Tribolium castaneum: one gene and its partner. The protein of the gene in region 1 binds, or shares a complex with, the protein of each later gene. Links are inferred from orthologs where the notes say so. Each region holds a gene or a part of one and is shown in the gene's direction. Other genes may lie near its edges. The genes, in order: Mitofilin and QIL1.

Region 1 (16,228 bases):
TTTACCATCACACCCGGGTAACACACCCAGAGAAGTACACCCCATGCCAACTCGATGTCGCCGACTTTCACTTTCTATTATTTTTTCTGTCAATTTTACAAAAATTCTGTAATAAATGGAATTGCGTTCAAGGCCGCACGCAATGCATTCTGTCTCTAAACGGCACTGAATGATAAATAATAAATTACTTTCCCCGAGTCGAAAATACCTCAACCGGTTCTCTGAGGTCCCTCAGCGTCAGTTTACCTCGACGTTGATACCCATTTGGGTGTCTTTCCCTTATCGTCCGACCTAACGTTTCTTATCAGTCGCAAAAATGTGCTCAACAACGACGATCTTGCATCTCTTCAACAATTCGAGATTACTTATTTCTAATAAATCTCAGCACGCGATAAGAAAGTTGAGTGTCTCAACTCGAAACGAGATGAGATTTGTGCAATACCGGCTCAAAACGGGCGGTTTACCCCACCTGGGGGGGCAGATTACCCAGGATGGGGACATTTTCGACATCAGCAACGTGGACCACTCCATACCCAACACCCTGACCAAGTTCCTAGCCACCGGCGATGACGTCTACGAGAGGGCCAAAAGGTGACGACTTTGCATAACAATTGCTTGTTTACCGCACTTGGGAGATAATTATTAATTATTTATACCTCCTGTTTGAACCAATCAGGGCCGTAAACGTGTAAATTAAAAAAGCATATTTGTCCTATCGCTGTTTCATAATCCGGTACTTCCAGTATATCGTTTACATACGGATTATGAGAACCTTACATGCAACGCATGTAAATTAATACAGTATTTACAATTATAAATTCTTGGTTTTTAATCCAGTTCTTTATATTAATAAATCTAATTTGGTCTAATCGTGTTGATAAGTTGTGACAATAAATCTCCCGTAAATTATCCGCGACATGTAGAATTATATTTTTCAAGGCCAACGAGGTAAACAAATTTTTGATAGCGTCTCAGCCATAACAATGACTGTCCATGCTGTCATAAATATTAATTTTTTGGTCATTTAGACCAGAAACGTTTGCATGATTTATTTTAATAAATTTTGCCATACTTTAATGTCACTACAAACCTTGGAAAAAAGATTAATAAAGTCAAAAAACATGTCCAAATTATTTACTCATATTTTTTGAACCACTGTGTATTTTTGATTTTTAATAAAAGTAGTCTGTAACGAACTGAATCTTTTACAAATGGGTAATTTTGTTTAAATTTTTAATAAGTATCTTAAAATTGTTGCAATTATTATTGGTCACGCAACGATATTTTGCAAGGCCAATTGAATAACGTTTTTATTTTGATAGGATGAGCATCCTAATCAACAAAAATTGATAAACAAATTCCATTTATGTTGCCCTTCTGTTTTATTATTTTGTGTTTCTTGTACGCCAATTAATTTAAAGTAAAATCGGCGACACAATAGGTAATGAAAATAATTAAATAAACAATTTAATTTTGTTAAACAATTTTTTACAGAAAAGTTGAGCAATTTTGCAACAGTAAAACAATGTTTTAGAAATGTATTATGCAATTTTACTATTTATCAATTAGTAGTTTGTGAAAAATTTAATTGAGTTGTTTTGAATAAATAGGTGAAAAATAATAATCTGTTTGGTTTACTAGATAATAAAAAATGCCATAAGGGACCGTAAATAAGTCAGTTAATAATTACTAAATTGTTAAAAGCTTAATTATTTCTATACTAAGCTGTCGAAGGTTTTTTATAGATTTGAGTTGTTATGCAACCAATTCTACACTCGTGCATTTTTTTCTCCTACTTTACCGTGACGACTCTTAACAAAAACTTTTTTTTTAAATAAACTATATTTGTAAACTGCGCTATAAATGAATAAAACTTAGTTGATATCTAATTTTCACTCGTAATTTAATTTCACATAAAACATCCCTTAAACAGGATAATCGCTTCCGGCAAATCCGTCATCCCTCTCAAAAACGTGGACCTCCTCCCCCCAATAATCAAACCGGACAAAGTGGCTTGCGTGGGCCTCAACTACTCCGGTCATTGTGACGAACAAAACATCCCCCACCCCCGTGAACCCATGTTTTTTAGTAAATTCTCCTCAACCATCGTGGGGCCCTACGACACCATCCAACTGCCCAAAATAAGCAACGTGAGTATAGCCCCCCAAAATTGTCAAATTTTAAATTAATAATAATAATAATAATAATAATAATAATTCAAGAGTGTCGACTGGGAATGTGAACTCGCTGTGATCATAGGCCGCAAAGCCAAGGCCATAAGGCAAGACCAAGCCCATGATTACATCTTCGGATACACAGTGGCCCAAGATATTAGTGCCCGAGACTGGCAGAAAAAACGAAATAATGGACAGTTTCTGCTAGGCAAAAGTATGGACACGTTCTGCCCTTTGGGCCCTGCGGTAGTTACGAAAAATAAACTAGACCCCAACAACTTAAATATCAAAACTTGGGTCAACGGCAAGTTGAAACAGAACGGAAATACGAAAGAGATGATCTTCAAAGTCGATTTTCTCGTCTCGTATTTGTCACAGTAAGTCCATTTTTCCCACATATTACTTAATTAATGTGCTATTACAGGATTGTAACACTGTACCCCGGCGATGTGATCCTCACGGGGACCCCTTCCGGGGTCGGCATGCACCGCAGCCCCCCTGAGTTCCTCCACAAAGACGATATCCTCGAGAGCGAAATTGAAGGAATCGGCAAAATGAGAAACATTGTTCAATAAATTTTTTATCACAACTTGTTTGTTTATTTCTTTAACCATCATCCCACAAAATGTCTTATCACTTATAAGTCGCAAAAGTGTGTTCAACAACAATCTTGCATCTCTTTAACTCGAGATTATTTATTCGTAATAATAAAGTACAACACGCGATAAGAAAGTTGGGTGTTTCAACTCGGAACGAGATGAGATTTGTGCAATACCGGCTCAAAATGGGCGGTTTACCCCATCTGGGGGGGCAGATTACCCAAGACGGGGACATTTTCGACATTAGCAACGTGGACCACTCCATACCCAACACCCTGACCAAGTTCCTAGCCACCGGCGATGACGTCTACGAGCGGGCCAAAAGGTGACAACTTGCACAATAATTGTTTGTTTACCGCACTTGGGAGATAATCAGGTTAGAGGGCCCGATCGATAGTGCGTAAATGGGGCGGTTTTATTAATTTTTACCTTTGATTTGAACCAATCGTAACGTCCAAATTAAAAAAAACAATACACAAATATATTCATATCACATTTATCGCAGTTTCAATCCGGTACTTGTAGGATTTATGAAATTGCATTTTTTTATTCCAATTTGTCGTATTAATAAATCTAATATTTTGGCGTATTTATTTAATCCTGTCGATAAGTTGTGACAATAAATGTGCCATAAATTATTCAGACATTTTTTCAAGGCCAACGGGGTAAACAAATTTTTGATAATGTTATTTAGTGTTTGTGTTGTAAATATAATTTTTTAGCACAGAAACATTAAAAATGTTATTTTTGCATAATTTTTTGACGTAAACGAAACCATAAACCCAGAAAAAAAGTTAAAATATGGCGAAAAATAACTACAAATTGGCTTCTTTCTAGGACATATTTTTTGAGCACTCTGTCTAATTATTGCAAATTTCATAAGCATCTCATGGTTGTTTTTTAATAAATATTTTATTAAAAGTAATTCTGTTTGTTTTTTCTAACAATATCTAGTTGAAATTGCTCCAAATGGATCGTAATTTCTATTGGTCACGCAACTACGTTGTGCAAGGCCAACTGAGTAACGTTTTTTATAGGACGTAACATCCTAAAATCATATCGATTAAAGATTTTTTTTCTTTATATTTTTTTGTTTCTTGTACTCCAATTAATTTAAAATAAAATTAATGACGCAATAGGTAATGAATATAAAATGAACAATTTTTCAACAATGAAACATTATTTGGTATTTTTTTAAATTTGGAAAACCGTTTGCTTGGCAGTTTTTCCACAGCTGTTGACACAATGTAAGTGTCTTCTTTTTTTTTAATATTATACAAATAATAAGTACAAATAATATCTCAATTTGTGCAATCATTTTTACCGGTATTATAAGAAATCTATCGTTATTGTTAAAATCGCCTCTTATCTACTGCTTATTTCATGAAAAAATGACATTTTATCGTCTAGAGGAATAAAGTTCACACCATTTTTTTTTGTTAAATTGTTTAACCTTTATTTATAACTGGCACTAAAGTTGTTAATTTGTTACTTACGCAAAATAAAAAAAGTATTATGATTGTATTTGTCATGGAAAGTATGAATATTATTTGTAAAAAAATAGGTAGCATTGGTTTTTGAGTATTAAATAGCTCAGATCCCATCTTGTCTTATTTGAAAAAATGCCAGAAGAACTATAAATAAATAAATCACTCTTTGATATGCAAATATCTGATGATTTCAACACCTAATTGTAATAAGCAGAATAATCGCTTCCGGCAAATCCGTCATCCCCCTCAAAAACGTGGAACTCCTCCCTCCAGTAATCAAACCGGACAAGGTGGCTTGTGTAGGCCTTAACTACTCGCGCCACTGCGATGAATTAAACATCCCCTACCCCCATGAACCAATAATTTTCAGTAAATTCTCCTCAACCATCGTGGGGCCTTATGATAAAATCGAGCTCCCCAAAATAAGCAATGTTAGTATGATAGCCCCCTAAATTACCAAATCCCCCTATTAAAAAAAATTAAGAGCGTCGACTGGGAAGCGGAACTCGCTGTGGTCATAGGACGCAAAGCCAAAGCCATAAGGCAAGACCAAGCCCTTGACCACATTTTCGGCTACACTGTGGCCCAAGACATCACCGCCCGAGACTGGGTAACAGCCAGAAACAACGGACAGTACCTCCTAGGCAAGAGTATGGACACTTTCTGCCCTTTGGGCCCGGCAGTAGTGACGAAAAATAAACTAGACCCCAACAACTTGACCATCAAAAGCTGGGTCAACGGAAAGTTGAAACAGAACGGAAACACGAACGAAATGATCTTCAAAGTCGATTTCCTCGTCTCGTATTTATCACAGTAATTTTGTTTCCTAATATAAAGCGTTCATCCCTAAATGTGCTATTACAGGGTTGTTACTCTGTACCCCGGCGATGTGATCCTCACAGGGACCCCTTCCGGGGTCGGTGTGAACCGCAGCCCCCCCGAATTCCTCCGCAAAAACGACATACTCGAAACCGAAATTGAAGGAATCGGCAAAATGAGAAACACAGTTCAATAAAAATTTTATTTACAACTAGTTTATTTATTTAACAATTGGGCACTGTCCCACTTGGGGGCACAAAAACCTTGGGCTTTCGCGCACTGAGGGGGTACTCCTCGCGCGTGTGGTAGGGCTCATAGGGGTCATCGACGTAATACCGTCGTTTGGTCCAAAAGGGCCCTGCCATTTTATCCAAAAGGTAGCTCTGACTGGCGTTGCACATGACGTGCTGCCTCAAACGGCGCTTGTTAGCCCCACTTTTCTTCCACAGCCTTTTGTGGCGCCCACACATTGTGCGGATCCAGGCGCCCCAATGCAGCCGGTAAAACCTCCGTCTCACTGCCTTAACCGACTTGCAGCGCCCCCGATTAAGCCCCAATTTAATCAGGTTGCGGGAGCTGACTTGGAAGAGCTGGGGGCTGGATAAGAGACTAGGTTTGGGGGCTGCGATCGTTGTGGGGATGACCGATGTGATGGTGCGCACAAGTGGCACGTTCGCGACCACATTTTGGACCAGGGGGGCCCTTGTAACGAACCGCGAGACTGGAATTAAAAATTTCAACATTTTTCTAGTTAGGGTTTTAGTTTCGTTAGGTTTGTGACGTTACGTAACAAATGAGTGGGACAAGGATGGAAATATGGGAATTTGGGGGATTTAGCGTCTTGACAACTTAAAAAATACCGCATAACTTAACCTTAGAATTCGCAACCAAAAACAAAAAAATCGAGTTAAAGTAATAATTAGGGGTCAGGTTGGGCGTTTTTGTGGGTTTTGTGACATCCTGGTTGAATCTGGGGCGATTTTGGGGCCACTTACACGAATTGAGGACTCTCAACATTGATAATTCGAGTGATGTCTGCACTGTCAAGCTAACTGCAAGGAGTATTTTTGTGTTGTCTGATTTTGCTAAAACCGCTCCCAAAGTGGCTGCCCCAGAAGATGTTAAGAATTGTAGGAAGGTTCCCGTCGAAAAATCTCCAAACGGTAAGCCCCTCTCGTCATAAAGCTAAATCGAGTGGTTATGTCATCTCGTGACTTGGGCGCTTTACGTAATTGCCGGCTTCTTGCAGAAATCCCGTCGAATTTTGGAATTCAAATTGTATAAGAGTGTGCGATGTTACTCGAAGGACGTGTGTCCGCCCCCGCCCCCCAAACGAAAAGACAAGTCCAGTTCCGGTGCGCTGTACACCTTGGGGGCACTCGCTTTGGTCGGTGGTGCCACAATCGGTTACGCTAAATACGACCCAGACTTCCGCAAGACTTTGGGCGAGTACGTCCCCTGGACCGACGACGTGATCAAGTTTGTGTTCCAAGAGGAGCACAGTCTACTTGACTCGGCTTCGGGGGTCTACGAGGACGTGAAGAAGTCGGTCTCGGGGCTGCTGACGCAAGAACAGCGCAAGAAGAAAGAGGACGTGAAATTAGAACAGAAGCAATACAAAGGTAAGCGACTAACGCGCGCTTTGAGTGACTAACCCAGCCTCCGACAGCCCCCCAGCCAGTGATACCGGCACTTGAAGACACCAAGGTCCCCCAGGAGGGGTACACGGAGATCCGCATCGAGCAGAAGGACAAGCGCGATGTCGAAATTGGTACTAATATCTCTGCTTTGATTTTTATAAGTAGCTCATTTCTTTCCTATTATTTAAAATTATTATTATTAAAACTAAAAGACATATACAAAGTTCCAGTGTTGTAAAAGATAGGTGTAATACGTGTAATGAACCGTAAAATTCTCTGGAACAAACAGTTTTGCCCTAAGACTTATAACGAATTTTTCGGGTGAAGAATGGACAAATTTTTAATTTTTTTTTTATTTTTTCTATTATGGCTGAACTATTTGAAAAGGTGGACTTATTTTAATCCCTACCTATGCAAAATGATCCGGGGAATCGATTGGCATCGAGAAAATTGCCAAATTCTCAATAGTTTTTTAGTTATGAATTTTTTAAAATTTTACCAATTTTTGCATTTAGCAGCAATTTGCTCGAAAACTATTAGTCGGAGTACAATAATCTTTTTTGAAAATAATAGATAATACAAAGAGCTTTCCAATGATAATACACTTCATGGGGTTATCTCTAATAGTTCCGGAGCTATTGCTCGAGAAATACTCCGGGTACCCAAAACCGACAAAAACTGCGACGAAAATTGAAAAAATCATACATCAAAAAATCGAACATTTGGACAACTTTAGTGGGTTGTTAAGACATGTAGAGGTCCATAAAAATTTGCTGAAGTTAGTTTAAAAAAAAAAAAATTTCACCTCTTTGAAGGTAAGTTGTATTACTCAGGAAATTTGAGCAAAAAAATTGAAAATTTTAAATCTCGTGAAAAGTTGGTATAATACAGAAAATGAACCGCTGAATTCAATGGAACAAACCGGATTGCTCTACGACTTTTAGTTTTTGAGTTATGAATTTTTTTAATGAATAAAATATTTCACTATGACAAATGGCTACCCTAAATTTAGGCAAAAAATTTTAAATTTTTAATTCTTGTGAAAAATTGATATAATATGTAAAATGAGCCGTAGAATTCAACGGAACAAACCGCAATGCTCTACGACTTTTAGTTTTTTTTTTGTGAATTTTTTTAGTGCAAAACTTTGATCGCCTCTGTAGCCGGAACCGTTACCCGGAGCGGCTCCGGGTTTAATCGAAAAAATAGAGAAAATTAAGCGCTATCAGATGGATTTTTGTTTGTCGCTCTAAGTCTTTTAGTTTCCGAGAAAAACGCAAAAAAAGGTTTCCATTTTCACTTTTTTTCAATTTTCAATCGCCAATTACGGCGAAACTATTAAAGATATCGAGAAACGGAAAAATGGAGAATAACCGGAATAAAAAACTCTACAAAATGACATAGGACTCAAGGCGATATCTCGCAAAAAATTTTTCAATTTTCAAACGCCGATTACGGCCAAACCCAAAGAGCTAGAAGAAAACAGTTTGTTCCATCGTAAAGAGCACATCAAAATCTATAAGATAAAATAGGTTTCATTTGATTTTGAGACACTTTAAAAATTGACCGATTTTAAGGGGGGGGTGTTAACTTTTTTTAAATTTTTTTTATTTTCTCATTTACGGCTAAACTATTCTAAAAAATGGAACTGTTTTGATCCATACTCATGCAAAATGATCCGGGGAATCGATTGGCATCGAGAAAATTGCCAAATTCCTAATAGTTTTTTAGTTATGAATTTTTTAAAATTTTACCAATTTTTGCATTTAGCAGCAATTTGCTCGAAAACTATTAGTCGGAGAACAATAATCTTTTTTGAAAAAAATAGATAATTTAAAGAGCTTTCCAACGATAATACACTTTATGGGGATTATCTCTAATAGTTCCGGAGCTATTGCTCGACAAATGTTCCGGGTACCCAAAACCGACAAAAATTGCGACGAAAATTGAAAAAATCAAACATCAAAAAATCGAACATTTGGACCTTTAGTGGACTTTTAACAACTTTAGTGGGTTGTTAAGACATGTAGAGGTCCATAAAAATTTGCTGGAGTTAGTTTAAAAAAAAAAATTTTTTTTCACCTCTTTGAAGGTAAGTTGTATTACTCAGGAAATTTGAGCAAAAAAAATTGAAAATTTTAAATCTCGTGAAAAGTTGGTATAATACAGAAAATTAACCGCTGAATTCAATGGAACAAACCGCATTGCTCTACGACTTTTAGTTTTTGAGTTATGAATTTTTTTAATGAATAAAATTTTTCACTATAGAAAATGCCTATCTTAATTTTTAGCAAAAAACTTTAAAATATTAGATCTCGTTAAAAGTTGGTGTAATACACAAAATGGGCCGCTGAATTCACTGGAACAAACCGTTTTGCTGTACGACGTAAAAGTCGTAAAAAAAACTAAAGTTTTGAGTTATGATTTTCGGGTTCGAAAAGTATCGAAAAGGTCCATAAAACTTTGCTTGGTAGGTGGCGAGGCCAAGGTGCCCCCTGGCGAGGTCTCCGTGCCCGAGTCGCACCCCAGCAACTTGGCCGAACTCGAGGCAAAAATCTGCGACGCTGCCACCGAAGCAGTCAATTTTTACAACAAAGCTGTCTACGACCTCCGCGTTTATAACGGAGAAATAAGCCAGATTTTGGACCAGTCCGTGGACCAGGTCAAGCCTCCTCAATGGGAGGCCCTCAAAGCCAAAACCAAGGCCAAGAACGAGTCGGTGCGATTGGCCGAAGAGAAGGCAGCTCAAGCGGCCCAAAACGTCTCAAAATTAAAGACTCTCCTAACCAAAACCTCCGCAGCCACGAAAGAAATGGTCAACATTAACATCGATAAAGTCCAAGAGGACATTGACGCGGCCAAAGCGCAGTACGAAATCGAGAGAAAATTGGGCTCAATCACCGATAAATACTGGGAAAAGGTCCAAAAGGCTAGACATCATTTTTGCGAAGAGTTGGAATCGCTTTTCCCCGCGATCGATATTTACAATAAAAAGTTGGAAGTGAACGAGGCCGACTTGGATTTGTTTATTTTACACGCGTATTCCGTTGTCTTGTATTACCAAAAAGAATTGGCAAAACTGGAAACTGTGGCGCACGAGAAATTGCAGTCGGCGTTGGATGCGGCACGAAGAGGCGGCTTTGAACCACTTGGCAAGGCCCAAATTTGCGAAGCCATCGAAGAGGAGAAGCGGAAATTGACTCTGTGCTTCCAGAAACAGGTTGGTGTAACTGCACTTTAAGTCCAAAAAAAATATATATATATATATATATATATATATATATATATATATATATATATATTGCCAGATATTATCTTTTTCATTAGTTTTTAAATTTACGTAAATACCGACTACTGATTAGTAAGTGATTGAAAATAAATCAAAATAACCAAAATTATTGGTTACTTTGTTGCCCTGGCCACGATTTGATCGACATGGCGCAGCTATGTTGCAACAAGGCCGAAAAATTCGGTTTTTTTTTTGAAAAAATAGGGCATTTGTTTGTTTTTTTTCAGTGTCTCAAGTTGCGAAAAGAGGCCGAGCACGAATTGCGCGAACAACTCAAACGCCAATCGCAAGTTTTCGCCGACCACTTGGATGAAGCCGTGACCACTCGTGCGCTCGAAATCGAAAGAGTATTGTCCCGAAAATTCGACGAAGAAATGGAGAAGGAGCGTTTCAAGCATAAATCGCAGTTGGCGGCGATGGTGGGCCGGATGAAGGGACTCGACCATGCGTTTAAAGGTTTGTATGCAAGACAAAAAAAGACGCAAGATTTGAATTTGGTATTTAGCGCGCGATGCGGCCGATAAAGCCGCCAAACAATCGCAAGTGTTGTGGGCGGCGTGTCAGGCGTTGCTAAGGGCGATTAAGACGGGCTGTCCGGGGATTCCCTGGAAGGATCAGTTGCGGCCGTTAAGTCCCGAGATCACGCTTGTGCAGAAGGCGGCAGCCAAAGGGGATGAGTTGGTGGAGGCGGTCATTAACGGCATTCCAAAGGAGGCGAAGGAGCGCGGGGTGTTCCCGGAGGATGCGCTCCGGGAGCGCTTCCTGAAGGTGGAGGATGTGGCCAGGAGGGTGGCGCTAGTGCCCGAAGAGGGCGGGGCTTTGCCGTTGCATATCTTGTCGTATATCCAGGCATTTTTCCTGATTAAAAATCCTAGTCCTATACCACAGGCGGAGCTCAACGATGAAGCCGTTGATTTTAGTCAATTGAGCACGAATGAGATTTTACAAAGGGCTAGGTAAGGGTGCGAAAATGTGAGAGGTTGTTGTATTTATTACTTTTTTGCACAGATATTGGTTAGATCGTGGCGATTTCGCCCAAACGCTTAAATATATGAACCTATTACAAGGCGCTCCCAGGTCTATAGCCAGGCAATGGATGAACGAAACGAGGATTTTGTTAGAGACACAACAAGCTGCCAACACTTTAATGGCACATGCGGCGTCTAGTGGGCTTTTGCATCTCTAATGTTGTATAAATCATTAAATTAAATAGTAACAATTACAGTTTTACTTATTTATTATTGTGCTTTCGATTTATTTTTTCATTGTTATCCTCTGTATATTTTTAAACCGGTACTTCATCAAGAGTGTACAATAAAGACAGTCCTTGTTAGTCGGTGTTTTATTACAACCCCATTCCTCTTCCCACTTCGTGATAGCCAGTGTGAAAGAAATGGAAACAGTCAATTGAAAAAAAAACAAGATCAAACAAAAATCTCAAAGCCAGAGGTTATTTTGGATACAAATTCAGCAGAGTACATTTTTTTGTCCTTCGAGCCGGATAAGAATGTAACCACAATCTATAGTTATTACAAAAATAGAGAAAAATCTTAAAGATTCATTTTTTGGTTCTTCGAGCCGGATACGAATTTGAAATAATAAATCTGATTCTACAAACCTGAAAAACTTCTGAACAGAAGGGAGTTTTTAAAAATAAACAAAGTTTGAAGTGTTAAAAATAAATGGATAGGGAAGCGAATAAAACAAATCATTTCGATTCATTCAGTAGTTTATTCACATCCAAATCGTATCCTCTTGAACTACCCGGACCTCAAAATATCGCTCAACTCCTTCATGTTGCCAAAGGCCGTCATAATCTCCTGGTTATTCCTCTTCTCCTCCTGGAACTTGTCCTCGGCTGCCATCTCCCTCAGCGCCGGCAGAATCTCCTTCAACAGCTGATACTTCTGCAACCCTTGCATAAGCCACCCCCTCACATCAATCAACTTATTTACCTCATTATTCGCAAGACTGCGCTCGTCTGGTCTTGAAGGGAAAGCAATAACCGCGTGGAAAAACAACACAGTCAAAAGCACGGCGGCATTGCCCCAATTAGCGCGCATTTTCGCAATCTGGAAAGCAGGAAAACCAATCAGACACTGAGACAAACGCACAATTTCCCCTTTTTATAGCCGCCACGAGCAAGGCTGTCGCCTGTTTGCAAACCATTAGAAATAACAAGAATCGGGAACAAGTGTTTATTTCGACAACACAATTACAATTTTGTCACTAGACGAAACGGAGAATTGCACATCTCGAAAAGGGCCTCGGTCAGAAACGCGCTTCTTTTACTTTTACACAGAGTGTTCAAGGACGTCAAGGGTTTGGCACGCTTCAGGAAAAACTGGCAATTTTCCTGGAAATTTCGGTCAAAAAAGTGGCGAAAGGCGCTGTAACTTACCCCGTTTGTGAGACAGGGGGCCGTAAAAGCGCACGCAAGCCCCCATAATAAAAGAAAAATCACAAAACGCATGACTCACCTTGATCAGCAAGCGAGGGTCTGGCTGCAAGGGCCAAAAATTCCCTTTTTGTACCTGGCGTTATCTCGTTTTCCCCGTTTTCCGGTAAATTAATTGATAAAAGGGATCAAGGGTTATTTTTAGCTTTTTCTTCGCTAATCTGGGATTTCCTCATGCGTTTGTGATTTTACACGTTTTGGCAGATGGGTCAACTCTTGCGGAACCTTCCGTTACACATTTTTTCCATAAATTTTTATGTATCAACTATTTTCATTCATTTATAGGAAACATAAGGACGAATCAAGGGAGATTATTAAAATGCTATTATTGGTTACAGTTATTTTACCAACGTATTTTTCAGCATGACTGACGATTTTATCGTGAATTTAATTATCGGAAATTCTTGTATTCCATTAGCGCGCCTACGTGGCGATTGTACTAAAAAGGGGCTCTTGAATTTTATTAAAATATGACAAATCTTGACACACAGTGAGCCATAAATGTTCACTAGCATTTTTGGGACCTAGGGTTATTTTAGAAAACTGTTTTTGGCGTTTTTTGATACTAAAATGAACCAAAAATTATTAAATTAGGGATTTTTCTTATTGTTTCTCACTTTTTAGGTGTTTTTAGTATGTTGTTACGCGAGAAATTAGAAAAGAAAATATTTTGCAAAATCAAAAATACTCCAAAAAATCACCAAACTGTTTTTTTGGGTACGCAAGCGAGTCAAAAATTTCAGTAATACTTTTTTTTTTACAATTTTGGCATTTTGTTTAACCAGAAATGCGATTAAATTTACGAATTTCGTTCAAAATTACCCGAAAAATGAAAATATATTTACATATTTGTTTTACCTGTAGTTTTTCAGAGACGCATTATTTCGCAAAAATTTTAAAAACTCAGCAAAAAATAACTAAATTGGATCGAAAATCAAGTACAGTCTCGCTCAAAATGAATGACACCCCTAAAACCGTAGCTACACATCTTTTCGTTACTAGCTAGACAGGTTATAAACTAACCTGTTTGTTGAAATTTAAGATTTTTGAAAAAAAAATTTGTCGCACTTTTGCTATCCGGCCTACTTGGTAGGGGTGTCATTCTTTTTGATCGTGACTGTACCTTACCTGATTTTGCCTTTTTTGTCTTTTTAGCACATTTTTAGCAAAAACACAGTTGTTTGGCCAAATTTCTCAAAAAATTATTAACCAAAAACTTTAAAAATTTCTCGAAAATGGTGTATCAAAAATAAGATAATAATAAAGATATTATTTTGGCATAGTTTCCGTCCAGAAACACAATCATTTCGTAGAATTTCTATAATAATAAACTGAAAAATGCCAGTTAAAACACTTAAACAGCATTTGACGTAAAAGCAAATTTTTTCGTCAGATTTTCCTAAACCGTAAAACTAGTAATATAAAATGATTAAAAAAAACCCTCATATGGTGATAAAAAAGGTTCAGTTAAACAAAAAATAACTTTTTTGAAGCAACTTTTTTTTAATATATTTTTTAATTTGTTTTTCTTAGCAACGGTATCGATTGTTGCTCCTTTGTTTCCTAGGATCCAATTTAATTTATTGTCGAATTTACAAGTTTTTTAAAAGTTTTGCACATCATCAGACACTAATTGTTGATTTTTTTCAACAGGTATTTGTTTAGTGTTACAAAAGCTGTCGTTTTTGCTAACTAAAGTCAAAAAACGCTCAAAATTCAACTTTTAATTCAGTTTGATTTTTCGATTTGAAAAAAGTAATAGAAGTAAACTTAAAGTTTACTATCAAATTGCTCTTCTTATACAATGTGTTTTTAAATGATCCTCATCTAGTTAACTTTGGAATTGGTTTACATGTAAAAAGTTGTGCCGCTCTGCTCAAATGAATTCTCTGTCAATAAATGTCAAAACTGTACAAATTGTCAATTAATTAATTTTAAAAATTTCGTTAAAATTTAACTAAATTGTTACACTGTGCAAGAATTGGAGACAAAATCAATAAAAAATGGTAATAACTAATATTCGGTGTCTAAATGCCTGTCATTAATTATATAAAGCGGCATTTCTGATTTTACACAGACGACTAGATCAGTAGATCATTTAAAAACACATTGTATTATAACTAAACCAAAAAATATTTTTTAAAATTATTCCTTGTTTGTAAGTGCCGATGGTTCGACAGACCGCGCAAACACCCCTAAAATAAATAATCATTTTTGCGTTATTGCCGGTGACACGCGCCCACGCCCCAAGAACGTCCAAACCACTTGTCGTTCCCTATTTAAGAAAATCGCCCCGATCCAGCCTTGTATTCAGCCCTCGCAATGAGATGCGAAACGTTCGTTGCGATCCTGGTCGCCCTAGGGGTGGTCCAGAGCTACCCCTACGACTACAAGTACCTGGATCGAGACGTGAGCTATCCCTAACCCGTTCCCAACCCTAACTTTTGACAGTATGCCAGTCCAGGCGCCCACCAACTCGCCAGCTGGATCGCCTCCCAGCTGCGCTCCAAGGACTACATCCAGCCCCAGGAGGGCCCCATCCTGCCCTACAGACTGCCGGTGCAAGGGAAGAGGAACTCGGAGGTTAGCAACGCGATCATCGGCTCCGAAGAGACGCAGAAGATGTACCGAGACGGCCGGAAATAAATCGTCAATAATGCGACTGTGACATGTATTACGTCTATTACCTACTCGTATTTGTGGAATGCTCGAAAGGATATTAAATCAATTGATTCAACAACATTGCGTTTTATTCATTTATTTCAAACAACAACGATATAAAAATTGGTTATCACAAATAAATCACCTAAAAGACGGTTATTTCCTCGCGTTTTGTGTCGACGAGATCATCGTCCAAACTTAACAAAAACATGAAAGTTAGGTAAAGGGCGGGGGCGCTTAATAAGTGCCAAACGTCGTGTTTGTCGTAGAAACTCATCACGATGCACTCTTGGTTCCACTGGCGCGATTCGGCAGGAGTTACCTGAAAATTATTAGTATTTTTTTAATTATTTAATAGTTAATGGAAAAATTACAGTCCAAAGTGTTGCATTGTCTAAAAAGTAGACAGTGGCTGTGGCCCAAGCTGCGATTGCCAAAAGTCCGTAAATTATGGCCTCAAAACAGATCCTTTCGCCATTGACTAGCTGGAAATTAGCACTAGAGTTAAAAATCACAAAATATGTGATTGTGGACGAATTATTATGCAGCATACAAGATAACTTTAAAAGTATATTTTATTTTAAATGAAACACCCTATATTTTGGAAGTAGCTTATTTTAATACCTATGTTCTTAAATAAGATTGTTCGATTTTGTTTAATTTTTAAATAACTTGATTTTTTTGACGAAAACATTAAAAAAAATAATACAACAAAGCCAAGACTAATAATAAAATTAATATTAAGTCAGCCTAAAAAAATAAAGAATGGACTTTAGCAGTGCTCTAATATTTTTTTGGAGATATGCAGTCGAATTCAAAAAATAAAGACGTTTCAAGAAGTTAAGTATGTTAAAAAATTATTGTTAATTTAATTTAATATTTAATTAACTTATTTTTAATATTTGCTTCTAAAAGTCTTTATTTTCTAAAAACATTAAAAAATTATGTTTATTACTAAATATTATGCACCGATTTCCGTCGTCAAAATAAAAAAAAATTGCTTTATTCTGTCTTTATTTTTCTAAAAAAAAGTTTATTACTAATTATTATGCACCAGTTTATACAAAATCACTTAATTTTTGACAATTCCTTGCTTAA
Region 2 (14,390 bases), on another chromosome or scaffold:
TTTTGTATGTGTAACTGTTTGTATGTCCAAATACTCCGAAATTAAGAGGTTTTGAGAAAAACGAGTGACACATTCTATGGTCCCTTTTTTGAGAAAATAATTTTGGTCAAAACCGCATCTCGCTATCGTCTTTTGTTTTCGACTTATTAACAAAAGTTGACATTTTAACGAAATCTTAAAAAAATCATATCTTCCTTATTATAAAAGATATCCATTTGAAACGAAGACATTATACAGGCACTTTTTTTCAGAGAATTTAATAATGTTATCAGCGATTTTTTTCAACCATTCGTTTAACTGTAATAACATAAAGTTGTATTTTTTTAAATAGGAATCATAGTTGGCTGTGACATTTTCGAAAAGATTATTTTTTTCTGATTTTATATGTCTATTTGTGTAATACATTAATTTTAAAACATTTTTAATTTTAAACATTTCGCTTTTTCTTTATAGTAGGCCATGAAAACATTTTGGATTTTTAATTAAAACTATGAAAATTGTATTACCCAACAAGTACTTATAATTTAATGATTTTTTTAACCCTAATTAATTCAAAAACAGCATAATAAATTTTTATTAGATCAAATTTTTGCAATTAATAAAAATTATTTATTTTTATATTTAAAATGGCAAGCTTACGTTGTCATTCTATTTTCCAATTTTAAACACGAAATGTCGGAAGAAGAAAAATCTTATTAATTGTATGATTGCGTATCAATAAAATTTTATTTTACAAAAAAATGTCAATCCAAACACCAAAATCAAATTCCATCTGCGGTAAAAAAATACACAACATTATCAACGTCACCTCCATTGCACTAAATCATAAAAAAGTGGCATCAAGTGGTCGTGACACATCGTTTGCAATTTTCTGCACATTTTTTATGTAATTAAAATCTGCGACGCTCGTATATTTGTTCAATTGAAAATAACTTTAACTTATTTTTATAATTTCACATTTTTTACTTTAATAACCGTTCACAAAATTTCTAGATTATTCACACCTTTCATGTGAAATAATTTTTCCATGGCCAACTACTTTAAAATATTTTAAATATATTTTTATCAAAAATATATAAAAACATCAAACTATATTTATATTGTTTTGAGTTCAGAAAAAAATAAGCTTTTCGAAAATGTCATAGCCAACTATGATTCTCATTTAAAAAAATACAACTTTGTTATTACAGCTAAACGAATGATTAAAAAAAATTGCTGATAACATTATTAAATTCTCTGTAAAAAAGTGCCTGTATAATGTCTGTGTTTCAAATGTGTATCATTTATAATAAGGAAGATATAAAAAATAAACTTTTGTTTATAAGTCGAAGATGCGGTTTTGACCAAAATTATTCTTTCAAAAAACGGACCCGAGAATGTGTCACTCGTTTTTCTCTAAACATTTTAGTTTTTGACTCGAAAAAAAGTTTACCTCGAAGAATCGCTTGAACTGTCGCTATAACTGCTCGAACTGGAACTATAACTCCTCTCTCGTTTCGCTTTACTCGAACTATTCTTATCCAACTCTTGCAACACTTTATAAGTCTTCAACAACTTCTCCTTCTCAATCGCCTCACGTTTCGCCTTCTTTGCCTTCTCCAACATATCAGCCTCCTCTTTCGCCTTCCGATGCTTCTCCTCCAGCAATTTTTGCTCCACCTCTTTCTTCTTCTTCATTTCCAGCAATTCCATCTGTTTCCGCAAAATCAACAACTTCTTATACTTCTCTTCAGCATCGTCAATCTTCTGATTGTTGCTTTCGTGTTTTTTTGCTTTTTTCTCATCCTCGGACGATTTCGAGCGATTTCTCGTCGCCTTTTCTTTATCTGGAGACGGTGTTTTGCGACTCCTGGAGTGTCTATTATGCGAGCGCCTGGACCTGGACCTTGGCGACCTCCGGTATTTCCGGTCACGTGACGGGTAGGGAACATAGCGCCCGCGATCCCGTCGGACGAAACCTCTCCGAACGGGCCTCCGGTCTTCAAACGGACGTCTTTCAACCCGCCGTCGGTTCGCTTCACGATAATTACCGTTTTTATATTCATTATCGGGCTTTTCCGTCTCGAATTTATTACGTCCAGTCCGTAAAACCTCCTCTTTCTTGTTCGCAGCTTCGGGAAGTGCTCGTTTCTTGTCGTCGTTTTGCTTCGTTTCGTTTTTCGCCGCCTCCTCTTCGCCGGTCTTCACCTGGACGCCCAACGCCATCGCCATGACGTCGCTCTTTGTGTTGTTAATCATCGCGTCTTTGTTGTTTTTCTGGTCGGTTTCGTTATTTGGGTTGAAAGTGCCAGGGAGTGGGTACTGGACGAGGCTTGGGACTTGTTTTTTTACCGTTTCTTCCTCCTCGGATTGGTTGTCTTCGTAGTCGAGGGCGTTGTAATCGACTTCTTTGTTTTTGTCGTCGTTGGTTGTGGGGTCTGGTTCATTGTCGTCGGGTTGGGTTTCTTCAATTTTGCGGCGTTCTTCACGTTTTCGGCGCTCTTGTTCGAGTTTTTCGAATTCGGAGAGTTTTATCACGCGGGACTCTTCCTTACGCCAATGCAGGGGCGTGCCGCTGCGGGAGCGGCTTCGGGACGGGGTTCTGTATCTCTGAAAAGTGGAAAAAAATTGTAAGTAACGTAAGGTAAAAGTAACTATTAATTTTATTTTTTCGGAAAATTAAAAAACTTTTTTCGACTGTGAAAAAAAAGAGCGACAATCATGCCTTAATGAACTTTTTTCTTAAAATACTTTAAGAACTTAATAATTTAATAAATAATTCGTTTATTACTAGAAATACAAATCAATAGGCAATAAGACAAAAATCTTCAAAATTGCAAGAAAATCAACAATTTAAGGTGATTTACCAAACTATTTTTTTTTATAACATAAGGTATTCGGACAAAATAACAATTATTTAAAGTTTTAGAAAGATACATTTTTTTGCTTCATGTTTTTCCGTGTAGCGATTTTATTGATTTTTGTAAAAAACAAGGTTAATTAGAAAGTCTAGGGCCTTAATGAAGCCAACTGTTATTTTTTCAAATGGTGGACCGATAATCACGTAACAATTTTTTTTTGGTACAAGTAACTTTATTAATTTTATTTTTTCGAAAAATTAAAAAACTTTTTTCGACTGTAAAAAAAAGAGCGACAATCATGCCTTGATGAACTTTTTTCTTAAGATATTTTAAGAACTTAATAATTTAATAAATAATTCGTTTATTACTAGAAATACAAATCAATAGGCAATAAGACAAAAATCTTCAAAATTGCAAGAAAATCAACAATTTAAGGTGATTTACCAAACTATTTTTTTTATAACATAAGGTATTCGGACAAAATAACGATTATTTAAAGAGGGTAATAATTTAAAGTTTCAGAAAGATACATTTTTTTTGCTTCATGTTTTTCCGTGTAGCGATTTGATTGATTTTTGTAAAAAACAAAGTTTATTAGAAAGTCTAGGGCCTTAATGAAGCCAACTGTTATTTTTTCAAATGGTGGACCGATAATCACGGAACACTTTTTTTTGGTACAAGTAACTTTAATTTTATTTTTTCGAAAAATTACAAAATTTTTTCGACTGTAAAAAAAAGAGCGACAATCATGCCTTAATGAACTTTTTTCTTAAAATACTTTAAGAACTTAATAATTTAATAAATAATTCGTTTATTACTAGAAATACAAATCAATAGGCAATAAGACAAAAATCTTCAAAATTGCAAGAAAATCAACAATTTAAGGTGATTTACCAAACTATTTTTTTTATAACATAAGGTATTCGGACAAAATAACGATTATTTAAAGAGGGTAATAATTTAAAGTTTCAGAAAGATACATTTTTTTTGCTTCATGTTTTTCCGTGTAGCGATTTGATTGATTTTTGTAAAAAACAAAGTTTATTAGAAAGTCTAGGGCCTTAATGAAGCCAACTGTTATTTTTTCAAATGGTGGACCGATAATCACGGAACACTTTTTTTTGGTACAAGTAACTTTAATTTTATTTTTTCGAAAAATTACAAAATTTTTTCGACTGTAAAAAAAAGAGCGACAATCATGCCTTAATGAACTTTTTTCTTAAAATACTTTAAGAACTTAATAATTTAATAAATAATTCGTTTATTACTAGAAATACAAATCAATAGGCAATAAGACAAAAATCTTCAAAATTGCAAGAAAATCAACAATTTAAGGTGATTTACCAAACTATTTTTTTTATAACATAAGGTATTCGGACAAAATAACGATTATTTAAAGAGGGTAATAATTTAAAGTTTCAGAAAGATACATTTTTTTTGCTTCATGTTTTTCCGTGTAGCGATTTGATTGATTTTTGTAAAAAACAAAGTTTATTAGAAAGTCTAGGGCCTTAATGAAGCCAACTGTTATTTTTTCAAATGGTGGACCGATAATCACGGAACACTTTTTTTTGGTACAAGTAACTTTAATTTTATTTTTTCGAAAAATTACAAAATTTTTTCGACTGTAAAAAAAAGAGCGACAATCATGCCTTAATGAACTTTTTTCTTAAAATACTTTAAGAACTTAATAATTTAATAAATAATTCGTTTATTACTAGAAATACAAATCAATAGGCAATAAGACAAAAATCTTCAAAATTGCAAGAAAATCAACAATTTAAGGTGATTTACCAAACTATTTTTTTTATAACATAAGGTATTCGGACAAAATAACGATTATTTAAAGAGGGTAATAATTTAAAGTTTCAGAAAGATACATTTTTTTTGCTTCATGTTTTTCCGTGTAGCGATTTGATTGATTTTTGTAAAAAACAAAGTTTATTAGAAAGTCTAGGGCCTTAATGAAGCCAACTGTTATTTTTTCAAATGGTGGACCGATAATCACGGAACACTTTTTTTTGGTACAAGTAACTTTAATTTTATTTTTTCGAAAAATTACAAAATTTTTTCGACTGTAAAAAAAAGAGCGACAATCATGCCTTAATGAACTTTTTTCTTAAAATACTTTAAGAACTTAATAATTTAATAAATAATTCGTTTATTACTAGAAATACAAATCAATAGGCAATAAGACAAAAATCTTCAAAATTGCAAGAAAATCAACAATTTAAGGTGATTTACCAAACTATTTTTTTTATAACATAAGGTATACGGACAAAATAACGATTATTTAAAGAGAGTAATAATTTAAAGTTTCAGAAAGGAAATTTTTTTTGCTTCATGTTTTTCCGTGTGGCGATTTTATTGATTTTTGTAAAAAACAAGGTTTATTTTCTAGGGTCCTAGGGTCTAGGGCCTTAATGAAGGCAACTGTTTTTGACCAAACACTTACGAATTTTCCCCTTCCTTTGATAATTCGGCCACTTTTGGTCGTAATGGGGCGATCTCTTCGGTTAAAACTGTGATTATCCCACTCTCGACGATTCCGATCTCTTCTAAAATCATCTGTAAGAAAATTATTATTATTTTTAATAATAATAATAATTCGAGAAAAACCTTTTCTTTTTTTGTTAAACTTTCGGTCCTTATCTTTTTCTTGCGGACCTCTCATTAGAAATTTATTGAATGGAACGTCCGGGATATCATCAGGGTTAATATCAGTGACTGTGGCCAAAGGGTGAAGATCTTTCAGTTCGCCTTCCTCTTCCGAATCGGTTTTTCTAAATTACGAAAAAAAATAATAATACATAAATAATAAAATTTTGAAGCTCACCCTTTGTGTTTCTTTTCTTTCTTCTCCTTCTTTTTGTCTTTTTTGTGTTTCTTTTTTTTCTTTTCATCGCCGGATGATTCCTCCTCGTTTTCGTTTTCTTCCTTCTTCTTCTTCTTGTCCTTTTTCGCTGAAATTTTTTTGTTGATTTGTTGTTAATTTTTGCCAGTTTTCTTACCTTTGACCTGTCTTACAAGTTCGCCACACTTGACAATTTTCGCGTCTTGAAGTGGCCGACTGTTGGCATCAACTGGTAGTGATTCAATCTGACGTACAACATCAACTCCTCCGACAACACGTCCAAAGACAACATGTACACTAGAAATTTTTTATTTGAGTAGAATTTGATTTTATCAATTAAAAGTGAAACTCACTTGTCGAGATGAGGGGCCGGTTGTGTAGTACTATAACACAAAACATGACAAGATATGATCAGCGAAGGCCAGGATAGATGGGAACAGACGTACTGCTACAGAACAACAAAAGTAACTGTTCTGTAACACATCTCTTAAAGCGACTGAGAAAATCATTCAAATGTCAATATTTTCTCTACAATTATTTGAAAAACACTTTGAAAAAAATCAGTTGTCCAATTGGACAAAAATATGTCTTTTGCTTAAAACTCACATAAAGAATTGAGAACCGTTTGTGTCCTTTCCTCGATTTGCCATTGATAGGAGAAGAGGTTGGTCGTGTTTCAGTTCAAAATTTTCATCTGAAAATAAATTATCGCTATTTACAAAAAAATTAATTATTTGAACGAGTGACACATTCTCGGATCCGTTTTTTGAGAGAATAATTTTGGTCAAAACCGCATCTTGCTATCGTCTTTTGTTTTCGACTTATAAACAAAAGTTGACATTTCAGTGAAATATTAAAAAAATCATATCTTCCTTATTATAAAAGATACACATTTAAAACAAAGACATTATACAGGCACTTTTTTACAGAGAATTTAGTAATGTTATCAGCGATTTTTTTTAATCATTCGTTTAGCTGTAATAACATAAAGTTGTATTTTGTTAAATGAGAATCATAATTGGCTATGACATTTTCGAAAAGCTTGTTTTTTTATGAACTCAAAACAATATAAATATAGTTTGATATTTTTATATATTTTTGATAAAAAATATATTTAAAATATTTGAAAGTAGTTGGCCATGGAAAAATTATTTCACATAAAAGGTGTGAATAATCTAGAAATTTTGTGAACGGTTATTAAAGTAAAAAATGTGAAATTATAAAAATAAGTTAGTTATTTTCAATTGAACAAATATACGAGCGTCGCAGATTTTAATTACATAAAAAATGTGCAGACAATTGCAAACGATGTGTCACTACCACTTGATGCCACTTTTTTATGATTTAGTGCAATGGAGGTGACGTTGATAATGTTGTGTATTTTTTTACCGCAGATGGAATTTGATTTTGGTGTTTGGATTGACATTTTTTTGTAAAATAAAATTTTATTGATACGCAATCATACAATTAATAAGATTTTTCTTCTTCCGACATTTCATGTTTAAAACTGGAAAATAGAATGACAACGTAAGCTTGCCATTTTAAATATAAAAACAAATAATTTTTATTAATTGCAAAAATTTGATCTAATAAAAATTTATTATGCTGTTTTTGAATTAATTAGGGTTTAAAAAATCATTAAATTATAAATACTTGTTGGGTAATACAATTTTCATAGTTTTAATTAAGAATTCAAAATTTTTTCATGGCCTACTACAAAGAAAAAGCGAAATGTTTTGTTTATTCTTAAATATTTAAAATTAATGTATTACACAAATAAATATATCAAATCAGAAAAAATAAGCTTTTCGAACTTTATGTTATTACAGTTAAACGAATGGTTGAAAAAAATCGCTGATAACATTGTTAGATTCTCTGAAAGAAAGTCCCTGTGTAATTTAAAAGAATGTGTTTATGAAAAAACCTAGTGCAAAAAGAAAAATGTCGCAACGTCACGATATCATCAAAAAACGTGTGCAAACAAGATAAGAATTAAATTACCGGATGCTTTTTATCAACAAATGGTTTTCAGTTTCAGTTTTTACTTGAGTAATTTGAATGGAATTTCAGATCAAGTGTGTAAGTTAAACCGTCAAAATGTGAATCAGCATGGCCAACCCAAACAGTTATTTTTTACCCCTTAGTATATTTTTTTTAAATCCGCACCCACCTTCAAAAGTTCCTCCATAGACACTCTCACCCCCAGTCCCATTCCCATTGGAAAAATCCCCTCCCTGGATGATAAAATCCTTGACGACTCGATGGAAAACCACCCCCTGAACGCAAACCAATCAATCAAGAGACCACCGCCGTTTCAATCAATACAGACCTTGAAATGCAACGCTTTCTTCGTATTCACCCCAATGCCCTTTTCCCCCGTACACAAACACCTGAAATTTTCGCATGTTTTCGGCACAATATCAGTAAATAACTCAAAAACAATGCGTCCGGACTGCAAACCGCCGATCGAAACATCGAAAAAGCAGCGGACGCGTTCTTTGGGCTGCTCCTCCATCTAAAAAATAAATTGCAATAGTAATGACATTCAAAAAGTGTTATCAGCGTCGCTGATTAATTAGTTAGGGAAGCACCTTACTTTTAATCAAAAATCACTGATTGATTGAGTCACCGAACGGACGATAATCAATTTGAAGCGAATTTTCACCGATTTTTCGTTTTTTTTAGTGGAATTTGCGGCAAAAAAACATTTTTCGCGAACACAACGCTACAACCAGCCACAGCGTAATATCTAGGGAGTTTTAGGCGGATGCGGGCACGCGCCTAATTTAAACAACTAACTTACAATTATTAAAATGCGTGCAAAAACGTAATCAAAATTTTAAAAAATCGAGCAAATTTATTTAGCACTTTTTGCGTAAATGTACAATCAAGCGTTTGGTATTAAAAATGCCTAAATAATTATCTTTAATGTTATTGAAATTAGTTTGGGGTTTTTGCTTCAAGTTGGTTGGTGTTGACCGGTCATCTTTCAAGCACATAACCTGAAAATAACCCGATAACTAAATTAAAAAAAATCAATTATTACGAAACATGTTCAGGTAATAACACTCATATAATACAGTTTAATGTTTTATTTCAATTTTTAATTTTTTGCACACTTGTTACATAATGACAGGTTCGCCATCAAGGTTGGGTTAGCTGCAAGCGCAGTTTATTATTTAAATAACGAAGGGATTTGGAAAGAGAGCAAGGAATCACTGAAAGCGTACGATAAACTAAACACCACACTTGAGCCCTATGTGCAAGAGGCGCGAAAACAGGTCCCCTTTGAGGTACAGAGCCCCCCACAAAATTATTTTTTAGGGACTTGTTCTTGCAGTTGCCTCAGTTTCCCAGTGGGGGCAGCAAGGTTTATAATGTCCAGGTTTGCTGGAACAAAGGGGTGACGGCAACGTTTCAATTTTTGAGTGAATTACCGCATAAAGTGAACAAGTGGGCGGATGAAGGAATTTCGGCTATTTTGCAAAATCCGGACATGCAAAAAGTGTTTGAAGCTTCCGGGGATACAAAGGATGGGAAAAAGTAGAAGTGGTTGTTAATATGTTGTAAATAAAATGTGTGGCTGTATCAATAAAAATTGATTCATGATTTTTTTGTTATTATTAACTAAACCCATTAAATTTGTTATTGGATTTTTTTTACAAAAAATAGTCATTGATAATTCAAAAGGGTCCCCTTTTTTAGAATTATTTGCACTATCGTAATAGTCCGAATAAAAAGAAATACTTCACTTTTTCCCTTTTTTTTTGATAACTAGGAATTTATTCTAAAGCATTTTAACTATCGCATTCAGTGCATATTTTTACGTACAAGACGCTTAGACGCCTGACTTAAACATTTTTTGCTAAATTATACCCAAAAATTAGGTTTTTTTTTTAAGTATGCAATTTGGTATGAAGGTGTGTTTGCTTGATTGCATATATAACTGGATTTTTTTAACAACTTATTTTTCGTTATATTTTTTTTAAGCTGAAAAATTTTATATTTACAGTAGACCGAAAAAGATAAAAATAATACAAAATACATCATTTTTAATGGTTTGGTTTGGCATATTTTACCAAAATTATCGAAAAAAATAAATAAATAAAACTTCTTGCAAAAACTGTGTGTGAGTGAAAAACGTATTAAAACGTACAAAAAAGGGTAAAATAAACTTTATTTTTTAACTGAAATAATAATTGGTTATTATTATAAGTAATAAGAAAAGTTGTTTATTTTTTGTCAGAAATAATGTTTAAATCCGCAAACGCTAGCTGTTGTCTTTTGCTATTGGTATCATTATTATTTAACACTGAAATTTTGTAATTACGATAATAATGAGTTTAAAACTGCCATTCCAACATTGATTTTAAAAAAAATGTAAAAGAAATAAAAACTAGAATCTTATATATGTATTTTTGCCAAAAGTTCTTTTGTTCATAAAAATGGCAATCAAACTGAACACACAAAAAAATTTGACCTTGTTTTTGCAGAAACAATATTTACTTAAAAAGGGCAAAAATAACCCAATTATACTTAAAAATTCCCAGCAAAAATTGTTCTTAAAACTGAAAAAACGCTTAAAAAAGCCCGAAAATGTGTAAATAAACGCGCCATTTTACAACTTTTCGGCCAGAATACAGAATAAATTGACTTTTTAATCCTAACTTTTAGTTAAACCGACCGTAAGCATGATTTTTCCTATCTTAAAAAAATTATTATTAGATTTTTTTGTTGTTTTTTTACAAAAAATGCTAAATGTTAATTGAGTAGTGTTGCCAACAGATTTTTTTGACACAATACTTTATCTCCATGTTTGCAATCAGTCCATGACCTTTCAGAATTAAGAATATAGTAAACAATAATTTTAATTCCGTCCGATAAGATATCGCTAATTTCGTATCAACTCGTTATCAGAAATTGCTCCTCTCATTCATAAAACTCCATTTTTACTATAGTACTAAACCATGATAGTATAGTATAGAAAACAAATGACCATCAAGTAACCAAATGCCACTAGATCTGGTTCCGCGGTGCCATGATGATCGAAACGTTTATTTCTCCATTATTCAGTGTTTTTTTTAATGGAAGAATTGCAAAGTAGTGCGCATGACGATAACGTATATGCTAAATGGTTGGTTATTCGTTCGTACGGCCTCTGCCTACATGGGGGTGAAAGTGGGATACGCGCATTGGCAACACGAGAGTATAGGCCAGGGGGGTTTTGCACTCCCGGGGAGATGAAAAGGGACGACCAATGACGACTGCTTATTTTAAAACAAGCGCGTATTTATTAGGGATTTCATTAAATTATATTTTTTGACGTAACAATGACATCTACGCTTGCGCGCAGATCGCTAAAAAGATCGCGCCGAAAATATCGCGCCAAAAGTGTTGTTTTGTCACTCATCGTTCAACGTGTTACCGGAAGTATGTAGCAATTATTTGTTTCATCGTTTAATCAAAGCAAAAATTCTGATTACAGTTCGTTAGTGAGTCAATTCCTGGTGTTGAGCGCCGACCAAAAAGATAAGTATCTCTTGTTTTGTTAATATAACCTCATCTTTTTGATTGGTGTTTCTTTCTATTTTAAAGGCATTGGTCTCTGGGCTGGAGTGACGGATTTTTGATTTCTACTACTCAAGCGAACTTTAGTCATGGCTGGTTATCGCAAATATTCCTGCAAATACCCCGGATGCACCAGTGGTTATGTTCCCAACAAAGGACATGCCAACAAGCATTTCTTCACCTTCCCTAAGAATCTAAAGCTTCACGAATTGTGGAGGAATGCCTGCAAAATTGAGGATCCTGTAAGTTCAAAATTTTGGCGTTTTCTCGATTTAGGGTATTTCAGAATTTACTTTTAAGTTTCTTATTTGCGCTCGAGTGTGTCAGTGCACTGCATGTACCTCCTCGTGGTCGTAGCGTGGGCAACTGTTTGCTGACAGACAAGGTAAAAGTCATTGCAAAGAAGGCCTTATTTTGTTTTAAGTCTGGAGCAGACAGGCAAAACATGCCAACACTAACTGATTTAATTTTTTGATAATTTTTGTATAATTAAGAAATAATACAATACTTTAATTTTTTGAAAAATTTAATTTGTTATGTTACTCAAGTGTACAATAAAAATGTTAACAAAATCTGTGTTTTATTACCCCAAAACAACTTTTTTTGTAAGTTTCATTGCAAATTTTGTTTAAAATAAATATAAAATGTTTTCATTTCGTTTAAAATGAAAATATTTTTTTTTATTTTAAACAATTTGCAATAAAACTTGTAAGATAAAAATAATAAAAAACAGAATATAAAAGGAATTTATTCAAACGTGGCGCTTTACCGTGGTAGTAACGCACTTCAGCACCAGAGGCGCTGTATTCTCGTGTTGCCAGTGATTTACTAGGGAATTATCACTTCTTAACCTTTACTGTTCTGTGTCTGCCTATACTATCGAAAACATCGTGCGTTAGTTAAGTGTTGTGTGGTGTCTTGCGTGTTATCAAAGTTCCCAAATGAGTACTTATTTATGGCGTTGCGAATTCTTCAATTCGGCATTGTGTTTGCAATAGGATACTATCTCGGCCCTGCATCGCGTAAGTAGCCCCCGAAAATCGCGTATCCTTCGCCGAAAACATTGAAAACATTCGAGTGTGTACCCAACCAATATGGCGGGTTGTTTAGATTGTCTCTAAGATTTCCAAATGATAGGAAAAAATTGGACGCTTCCTTGACGTTGCCACGCATCTAGTCGCTTTGACAACCAACAAACATCGACCGATGCTCAACTGTCATACCTGTCAGTTTTGTTATTGTATTGTTCGAGCACAGCTACCTGCGATGCTGCTGCAAACGCACATTTTTTAACGCGCTGGGATCGATTTCCTGTCGGATATTTTTCTTAATAAATTATTAATCACGAGTTGATGTGGCCATGACTTTCCTTTGTTAATAGAAAAATTTTGACGAAATTCTCAAGTGCGTAGAAACTGCGATGTTTCGTAACTATCATGTCGTAACATTATCAGGTGGGACACCACGTTTGGGACTTCCGGGGAATTACTACAAGAATTATTATTGATCTGCTCTTGTTTTAATTGTTTGACACTGAATTTTTGAAATTGTCAACAAAACCTGTCAAAGTGTTGATGTTAAACGACTTTTTTCCGAATTTTTTTCATACGCACAGAGGTCTAGTATAAAAAATAATATAGAAAAATCAGTAAGTAAAACAAATTAATATATTTCCGATTGACACTGGCAATTTATTTGGGTATTTTTGCATACAAGGTGAATTAAAACTATGGAATCAAGTGCTCCTTGCTAAAACTATTAATTTTTGTAAAAATAAGATTTTTTGATTTCTTTTTTGTTTTGAAAGTTGGAGAAGAATATTTAAAAAACTAAATCTGATGTTGTTAATTTAACAAAAAATTATAGTGTATTTGGGTACCTACTGTCAAAGTGACAATAGTTACAGGGTTATTCTTTTATAACCTACTTTAGAAACTTAACTTCTAACATAGCTAGAGCCTTAAAATTTTGTATACGATCCATATCGACTATTCTGAGATCATCTAAGTTATTGTCAAAATGGCTGAGCTTTCGGAACTACGAGAAATTAGCTCTAACTTTAAAATGTTTATCGTTAATCAAGTAAGCATTGAAAAATGGTTAAAGGTGAAATAAAACTATGAAGTCAAGTGCTCTTTATTAAAATTAATAATTTTTGTAAAAAGAATAAGATTTTTTAATTTCTTTTTTGTTTCGAAAGTTAGAGAAGAATATTTAAATACCATGTGAAATTACATCAGAAAAAAAAAATCTGATATGTTAATTTAACAAAAAAATATAGTATATTTGGGTACCATTAGAAACTTTTTAACTTCTAACATAGCTAGAGCCTTAAAATTTTGTACACGATTCAAATCGACTATTCGGAGTTCATCTAAGTTATTTTCAAAATGGCTGAGCTTTCGGAACTACGAGAAATTAGCTCTAACTTTGAAATTTTCATCGTTAATCAAGTAAGCCTTGCAAAAACAATTTTCAAACTTCAACGTTTTATTTAGTTTTTAGCTGGTTCATTGTCAAATAGGCAGTAAAACAATAATATTTAATTATGATTCATTATTATAATTTATGTAAAAAAATTTTGATCATCAATTTCAAAAAAATCATAGTAGCTTTTGCATTTTGGCAAATGACAATTCTGATGATTTTATGACTTTTTGTACTCTTGGTTATTACGTGCAAAAAGAATTATTCACTTTACTTCACTGTGGTATTGCATAAAAATATTGACATGTCAAAAATTGTGACAGATGAGATAGTGAGTTTTAAAAGACTAATTCAAAGATGCAATAAAAATATGTGGTTACTATTTAAAATATTTCAAATTTGGCACCAATTTCATATCGTTCCGGAAGTTCAGCCATTTTGAAAATAATTTAGTTGAACTCAAAATGGCCGATTTAGATCGTATATAAAATTTTAAGGCTGTAGCTATGTTAGAAGTTAAAAATGTAGGTTATAAAAGGATAACCCTGTATTATTTTTTAAGTTACAAGTTTACTGTCACTTTGACAGTAGATACCTAAATACACTATTATTTTTTTTTGATGTAGCTTCACATTATCTCTAACTTTTAAAACAAAAAAGAAATAAAAAAACTTATTCTTTTCACAAAAAGTAATAGTTTT

Evidence for each region.
Region 2: Mitofilin (region 1) and QIL1 share a complex: the UniProt entries of both Drosophila melanogaster proteins name them as parts of the mitochondrial contact site and cristae organizing system (MICOS) complex. The link is inferred for Tribolium castaneum from reciprocal best matches to the Drosophila melanogaster genes Mitofilin and QIL1.

The regions. Positions count from the first base shown.
Region 1 is NC_087395.1:24,362,717-24,378,944, forward strand, and holds Mitofilin (MICOS complex subunit Mic60), read left to right. Parts: upstream 1-6,103; 5' UTR 6,104-6,200; coding exon 6,201-6,245; intron 6,246-6,331; coding exon 6,332-6,704; intron 6,705-6,751; coding exon 6,752-6,853; intron 6,854-9,196; coding exon 9,197-9,942; intron 9,943-10,238; coding exon 10,239-10,467; intron 10,468-10,516; coding exon 10,517-10,967; intron 10,968-11,019; coding exon 11,020-11,197; 3' UTR 11,198-11,344; downstream 11,345-16,228. Other genes in the region: fumarylacetoacetate hydrolase domain-containing protein 2A, read left to right, coding at 317-591, 1,934-2,150, 2,223-2,551, 2,599-2,749; fumarylacetoacetate hydrolase domain-containing protein 2A-like, read left to right, coding at 2,932-3,098, 4,478-4,694, 4,748-5,076, 5,128-5,278; mRpL35 (large ribosomal subunit protein bL35m), read right to left, coding at 5,307-5,803, 6,078-6,099; uncharacterized protein LOC103314327, read right to left, coding at 11,772-11,918, 11,967-12,074; uncharacterized protein LOC135265377, read left to right, coding at 14,792-14,878, 14,921-15,115. UniProt on the Drosophila melanogaster protein: Component of the MICOS complex, a large protein complex of the mitochondrial inner membrane that plays crucial roles in the maintenance of crista junctions, inner membrane architecture, and formation of contact sites to the outer membrane.
Region 2 is NC_087400.1:1,397,065-1,411,454, forward strand, and holds QIL1 (MICOS complex subunit MIC13 homolog QIL1), read left to right. Parts: upstream 1-8,602; 5' UTR 8,603-8,745; coding exon 8,746-8,753; intron 8,754-8,830; coding exon 8,831-8,987; intron 8,988-9,034; coding exon 9,035-9,241; 3' UTR 9,242-9,303; downstream 9,304-14,390. Other genes in the region: Moca-cyp (peptidyl-prolyl cis-trans isomerase G), read right to left, coding at 1,433-2,589, 5,296-5,623, 5,677-5,803, 5,852-5,991, 6,048-6,077, 6,301-6,388, 7,865-7,970, 8,024-8,209; protogenin A-like, read left to right, coding at 12,218-12,284. UniProt on the Drosophila melanogaster protein: Component of the MICOS complex, a large protein complex of the mitochondrial inner membrane that plays crucial roles in the maintenance of crista junctions, inner membrane architecture, and formation of contact sites to the outer membrane.